Linked DNA regions of Xenopus tropicalis. The protein of the gene in region 1 binds, or shares a complex with, the protein of each later gene. Links are inferred from orthologs where the notes say so. Each region holds a gene or a part of one and is shown on either strand. Other genes may lie near its edges.

Region 1 (3,748 bases):
GTGTTCTAATTCGATCGTTTGGCCCCAGGGCCAAATGGCGGATTAGCCTAAATTCCCCCGATATCGCCCACCCGTAGGTCGCCAAGTGAGTGGATCTTAATGTGTACGGCCACCTTAAGATCTCAAAATCTTGTATGAGTGATATGGCAGCAGATCACTGGTGCCTGCTGTGCCCGGTGTCATTGTCCTAAGGCTTTGTAGCATACCTGCATGCAGAGTAATGTTACCTTAGTCCTCTTAGCTGGAGCTGATATCTATCCTAGATGTCTGACTGCACCACCTCTTTTTTTCTCAAGTGTTAACCTCATTACTCTCGTTGTATGGCAGTTGGTAGAGTTTACCTTTTTGAGATCTCTTGGCTTCAGTGTGGGCATTGCGCTACAGGCAGTGTTTTGTGGCTTTTGGATTAATGACGTTTTTGTTTTTTGTTTTACAGCCGAAACAACTCCCTGACAAGTGGCAGCATGATCTGTTCGATAGTGGTTTTGGTACAGGCGCTGGTATGGAGACTGGAGGAAAACTTCTTGTGTCAAATCTTGACTTTGGCGTTTCTGATGCAGATATTCAGGTGAGGAGTCACTGGCTTAATATGCGTGTTTTTTGGGGGAGGGATAGATGGCATTGTCACCCACATAATTGTGCTTCCATAATAAATTTTTCATTGGAATTGCTGCAGATAGAACATTTGAATCTCCTCTTAGCGATAAAATGTAAACAAGGGCCTTCTTGCACAGTGCAAATATTTTAGCTAAAACACGCTCACACCTGAACTTTGTGGTATTTTATATCCTCCACAGAGCACATCTGACCTTTATTACTCAGCTGAGTGTTCACCAATAGCAGGGCATTCCAGGAAGTTTCACTTCTGCTTGAAAACCTGCCTGAAACACAACTTTTTTTTTTTTTTAAGCTCAATCCTATATCCAGAGGAGAGTAACTCACTGGTACATATTTTATAATTTTTATAGGATATGTCTTCAACCATGCAAATGCAAGGAAACTGTATAAAGTTGCAAATAAGTTGGTCACAATCACTGCAGTAATTCAAAAGCTTTTACTGATATGGTTAGGCTGTACTTTCGCTACTCTGCAAATCAGTACATGTGGTGGTTTCTCAACAGGAGCTCTTTGCAGAGTTTGGTACTTTAAAGAAGGCAGCAGTACATTATGACCGATCTGGGCGAAGCTTGGGCACTGCAGATGTGCACTTTGAAAGAAAAGCCGATGCTCTGAAAGCAATGAAGCAGTATAATGGGGTACCACTGGATGGTGAGTTGCTTAACATGGCCAACTATATAAATAAAATACATAATTATCTTGTCTAAAATCAGCCCTCTCCTATTGTTGTAGGTCGGCCCATGAACATTCAGTTGGTCACATCACAGATAGAAGCACAGAGAAGACCTATACAGAGGTAAGGAAAAAAGGTTTATTTAGCTTGGATAATGTATGTTCTTGATATTGTAATTTATACTAGGGCTTGCAGCACACTATATGTTTCCTTTACCTGCAGTGGCTGAACCACTGCTCTTGGCAGACTGCATGAACACAGGATGTATTATGGTGCAGAAATTAATATTTTGGGCTGCTTTGCTGCCAGGCCAGGACAAAAGCACCTGCTGCATACTAATAAATTATAAGGACCATTTAAGCAGATTGTGGTGGAAAGGCTAACTACACAAGGATCAAAGTTAATTTCAGAAACATTTCTAGTTGCATGTGCCTTTAGTTTTGAAAGTAATTTCAATTTTTTTTTTTTTTTAAATAAAACCTTTGCTTGCAATGCAGGGGTTCTGGCTTGTGTCAAGGGCTCTACATCATTCCTTTAAAAAGTCTGCTTTATATTAATAGCTAATATATGCTATTTTAAATTTCACGTTAAGATATACTGCACTATGAGTGAACTTTTCAACCCCAGCACCATTAATGTAGTAGTGTTTTTTTTATATTTTGCAGCCAAAGTAGGGGTGGTGGTATCACTCGGCCACGAGGAGGAGCTATAGGTTTTTCTGGTGCAAACAGGCGTGGCGGCAGAGGTGGAAATCGGGGTCGTGGAAGGGGGGCTGGAAGAAATCCAAAACAGCAGTTGTCAGCAGAAGAGTTGGATGCACAGCTTGATGCTTACAATGCTCGGGTAAGAAACTACAGGATTTACTACCAGTACAAGTTGATATGGGGACTGGTCCGATTGCCATCTTGGAGTCGAAAGAATTTTTTTTTTTTTTTCCCCATTGCAGCAAATTAGAGAGGCTTCAGATGGGTTTTTTTTTTTGCCTTCCTCTGACTGTTACTAATTTTCCAGTAACTACTAAGGGATATTCACAAATGTTAAAGGAGACATATTGGATAAGTGGGGAAAAACCCTAATTTTGTAGGCAATTATGAATAATAAAGTGCTGGTTTCCCTTTGGGCTAAACATTAATCCTATCTGTAAAAATGGCCACTTCCACAATTGCTCTATATAGGGAACTTGAAAATGAAAGCGAGTTCGTGGTAATTTTGCACAGATGTTCATAGTAATTTTGGGCAGATTGTGCAAGAAAATGCAAACCATAGATATTTTTCAAATAGGCAAAAGTGCACAATGAAAGCCCTATTCATTGCACTTATGTTGAGTAATGAATACTTTTTAGGGCATATATAGAATGGTGTGCAAGCCAACATCACCAGAGATGTTGCCCATAGCAGCCAATTAGATCTCTGCTTGTGTTTTCTAACTTGTAGGTGACAAATCTGAATTGCTGACTGGTTGCTATAGGCTACATCTTGGGGGTATATTTGTGTCTAAGCAAATATAACCAAAATTTATAACTAGTGCTTAGTTTGACAACTATTTACAAATGATAAATTCTAAGCATGGTCTTTTTCTCTTCCCCAGATGGACACCAGCTAATCCCTTCTGTCTTGTTCCTGTGATGTTGCTTGCTCTGAAGAAAAATGTCAACAGATGGATTTTTGTTTTGCTTTTATTTCCCATAGGTTTTAAGCTCATGTAAAGTCTTTTTCATTTTTTTTCTTAATTTCTATGTCCGATGCAGACCTGTTTTGTACGGAGTTATTTTGGGACATTTTATTGGTTGAATGTTGATGGTAGGGTGCTCTTCACCTTCCTCTAATAAAAAAAGAAAAAAAATCAATCTGTTATTCAGTTGCTGTTTTTGTGTATGGGATGATTTTTAAACTTTCTCCAGGTGTCCACCATATTTGTGTTCTCTGACCGTGTTTACATGCCTTCTTAAATAGTATTTGCTTTTAAAAATTAGGCTAAATTGTAAAAAAAATGCAAGTCAGATTTAATGGTCACATTTTGCTGCATGGACTTACCAAAATGAGACTTAGTGGGTGATTGGATGTTTAGTTATTAGATGAATTTGGGAAGTGTACATATATTGGGTAATTTGCTATGAGGGTGGTTAAAAGAATATCATCATAGTAGTTCCTATGGAATTTGTAAGTTGAGATCACTGAAGGTGAGAGAACTGGGTACAATCTTTTCTAATTATACTTCTTGCAAACTGCTTTCTCTGGCAATAAAAACATGTGTTCATAACTGGCTGATGTGCATGACTTCCATAAAATCTATTTAACTGTAGATCAGTGTGTTTTTTTTTTTTTTTTTTTTTTTTTTTTAACAAAGGATGTTTGTAGAAAGGTTTCTCCCCTCTTATTCAGGGTCTATTTAAAGATAATGGGACTATTTAAAGTCTTAGGCTACTGCCATACAGGAAACAGGCAGAGAATCTACCC
Region 2 (3,654 bases), on another chromosome or scaffold:
TTTGGGCTCTTTGCTGCCCACCTTGCAGCCACCGCTTTCCATATTTTTTGCAATGGCAGACACAAGCACTATCAAGCAGGAATTATAAGGTCTTATTTTCATTACCAAGCAATCCCCACCAAAAGCACAATCAGGGTTGCCCGGACCAAACCAGAATGTAAAGTGTCTAAGGATTAGGTTTCCTTAAATGTACAAAAACTAAATGTTGGCAATGTTGCAGAGCCAAGTCGTGCATTGGTCAGTTAATGATGTTTCCCTTCTGTAAATAGAAAATGTAATGAGGTGGAAGGGTAACACTGTTTTTATGCTACAAACACTGCGTTCTCTGTAAACAGTATGTCTGGTATCTTCAATATACACTTTTTTTGAACACTTCAATGATGATATGATTTCTAAAAGATTTTTAAGAACTTGTATAATTAGCCTGAAGGAAGGCATTTCACTTTGAATAGGTAAAAAAATAATAAATGCAGCCAATCAGAAACAAGTATACAAGAATCTACTACATATTCTCACATTATTTTGCCCAAGAAATGGTTTAATCATACAGAACACCCAGTTTTCTTACCTTTCTTGTCTGAGGTTGAAAGGCCAAACCTTTAAAAAAAAAAAATTAAGTGTAAGAAAAAAAGATATACGAGACCTATTTCAGTTTAGAATTTTAATATTTCACATCCACTCTAACAGATGTGAAATGTTAGCATTTTTTCTACTTAAAGGGGATGTTCATCTTTAACTTTTAGTATGATGTTGACACTGGACATTCAAACGTGATTTGCAACTGGTATCCATATTTTTTTTTTTTTTTTTACTTGGGCCTGAACAGAAAGATGAGGAATAGAGTAACAATAATAACATGGTAACCTTTGTTTAAATCAGTATTTCAATGCTTACCGGATGGCTCGAGCTGCTTTTTTGCTGTCCACACTGGCAGGAACATTGAACCTCTCAGCTCTTTTTTGAAGCTTCTGTAAAAGCAGAACATTTGTTAATGGTTACGTCCAAAACAGTTGGTGCTACAGACAACTATTAATCAATAAGCTCAGACGTTTAAGGTAATAAATATCAGGCTTGGAAAAAGCAGACATACATACCTTGTTGTTTCTGCCAGTGTAAAATAGCACTACATAGTATCAGCACTTTGTCTGCTGACAGAGAAATGTATTGTATGACACTCAACCTATATACCACCGCCCTTTATATTAAAACTATGGAGGGATTACCACAGACAAATCTGTAGCAGTTGTGTGCTACTTACTAACTGGGTTATCTGTCCAACCTGTGTATAACACAGCTGCACTGTAAATTCCTCCACTGTGCAGAAAACTCTATTAAAAACAAGAACTGTGTTGTGAATCTAACACTTGGTCACATTCAGGGCAGAGGGAGCTCAATAAGTGCTAGCCATACAGGCAGCACTTGGCATATTTAACATATACAGGTAAGCATCACAAAGAAGATGTACACAGATTTTACTTACATCAGTTTCAGAAGCACTGCTGGAAATTTTCACCAGCTTCTTTTCTGCATTTCTGTTGGAATTAAAAAATATATGAATAGCAGCAGGTCAAAGCACTGATAAGACAAAATGGTGTCTTTGTATCGAAAGATCCATCTTTCCTACAAAACACATTGTCTATATATATTTTTTGGAAAAGATAAGTCTTGGATGTAAAGCCACTGATTGACTAAACCTCTCTTTATAGCTGAAATAGACAAATAAAGTTGACATGCATGTAGTAAACCTTAGCTCCAAAACATAGCAACGAAGCCAGATTTGAGAAAGCAAAACATCAATATCAAAGTGTTTATAAGGCAAGTATTACTGCCTCAGAGGCAAACAAGTGTGTTAAATACAAATAAAGTGGACAGTAGATTACAAAAGAAAAACTACACGTGTGAGCTGGAAAAGGGCATAAAAGCACATTTTCTTCCTAGGAAGTTCCCAGGCACTAAAAGGAAAAGAAAAAGAAAGTGAAGTGGTGTCAGCTATTATAAAGCCCTCTCCCATAAAGTGTGGGTCGTAACACCCCCATAAAGGAAGAGTTTCTTGCTCAGGGGGAACGTTACGAGGCTTTTGTTCCCAAATCCTGGAAGCAGCCTTTCCCATGGGACAGTAAAAGATTTAACAACTTTCACAGGAAGCACAATGAGGTCAGAAGACAGGACGTGCTATTCTACTCACCCCAGTGAAGTAAATACCTAGTATATGTTTTAAGACTCATCAAAAGGAATTTTATATGTGCTATTTTCTTTGGGATCAAGTTCAGATAGTTTAACTAAAGGTCAAAAGACAATCAGTCCAGGCAATACTATTTTACTGTGGGACCACCAACGCTGTGGCACTACAATAGATGCATATCCAATATGGTACTTCTGGCACCCTTATACAGGCATGGCAAGCTGCAGCTTTCCATATGTTTCTAAACTATAATTTTCAACATCCTGTCATCAGCCTTGAGGATGCTGGGAGTTGCAGCATGGCACCATCTGGTAGGCTGCAGATTGAATGTGGCTTTAAAGAGGACATCACCCTAAAAAATAATTTTAAGTCCTTATCCATCATGTAGCTGAGCATAATAAGATTTACTTTACACTATATACATTATTAAACTAGGTTTCCTCCTGTCCTGGGGTTCACAATCACAATAAAGAGGCGGTGCCATTTGGCAGTCATACTTTCTAAGCTTAAAGTTATACAACAGATTGGCAAAACTGACGGACAAGGCGCCTCCTGTCACTTGATCTGTAATGCCCCATTGACACACTGACAAGGTACACTGGAACTTTAGTTCAACTGTCTGTAAAAATATCCCCCAGTCCAAGTTACATACATTCCCTTATATTTGTGCAGTATAGTTGATATCAGTCAAGCCACCTGACCAAATCTGGGCATGTACTGACTGCTTCACCTAGATATTTAACAAAAGAAGGGGGTGAGTTAAGGGAAATAACCGTATGCTCAGAAAATGATTCCAAAACTCTTGTCTGCTGAAAAGAAAGTATTTTCAGGGTAAGAAAAACATTTGCGCTGCAGTCTGAATAAAGGATGCTGATCTGATAAGTCTTTGAACAGTCTGTGTACATCCAAGGGGTACTGGCTGATGGGAAACCTTTATATCCCCAACAAAGGTAAATACAGAAAGGGTCCTATTTTCTGTGACTTCTCATTACATTTGATGGTACACTTTAAACTAGCCAAAAGGGAAAATTTACAAAGGTTATAGTAATAGGGGATAAAAGCTCCTGCAGCTATACGATCTTTTACCAAAGCTTGCAAGATGAAGAGGAATTGGCAGTTGTTTAGGATGATGCAGAAGCTCTTTTTTTATTTATTAAAAAAAAACAACTTTTTAACCAATGACTTCTCACTTATCTGTATACTAACTGGTTATAACAATGACAGAAAAGACCATTTCTTAAGCCTATACCTTTCTTTAGTCAGTAGGTACAGAGTGCCATCTTGTGGACAGAAACATGCAAATGTAGTTATTACCATGAATCTCTTGTAGCTCTTGGCATATCCAAGATAGTCCATAAACATCCCCCACTTTAATTTAACCATAACTGGAATTCTAAAGTAAGATGCACATCAGGAAAAAACAAACTACATTTTTAAAAGGTTTAACAAAGTTTATAACTGGTTAGAAATAT

What was found. Proteins that work in one complex are often made in the same cells at the same time.
Region 2: alyref (region 1) and sarnp share a complex: the UniProt entries of both Homo sapiens proteins name them as parts of the transcription/export (TREX) complex. The link is inferred for Xenopus tropicalis from reciprocal best matches to the Homo sapiens genes ALYREF and SARNP.

The regions. Positions count from the first base shown.
Region 1 is NC_030686.2:27,889,748-27,893,495, reverse strand, and holds the end of alyref (THO complex subunit 4), read left to right. Parts: intron 1-436; coding exon 437-568; intron 569-1,121; coding exon 1,122-1,269; intron 1,270-1,350; coding exon 1,351-1,414; intron 1,415-1,956; coding exon 1,957-2,134; intron 2,135-2,879; coding exon 2,880-2,894; 3' UTR 2,895-3,125; downstream 3,126-3,748. UniProt on the Homo sapiens protein: Functions as an mRNA export adapter; component of the transcription/export (TREX) complex which is thought to couple mRNA transcription, processing and nuclear export, and specifically associates with spliced mRNA and not with unspliced pre-mRNA.
Region 2 is NC_030678.2:138,199,033-138,202,686, forward strand, and holds part of sarnp (SAP domain-containing ribonucleoprotein), read right to left. Parts: intron 1,533-3,654; coding exon 1,481-1,532; intron 969-1,480; coding exon 895-968; intron 598-894; coding exon 569-597; intron 1-568. UniProt on the Homo sapiens protein: Binds both single-stranded and double-stranded DNA with higher affinity for the single-stranded form. Specifically binds to scaffold/matrix attachment region DNA. Also binds single-stranded RNA. Enhances RNA unwinding activity of DDX39A.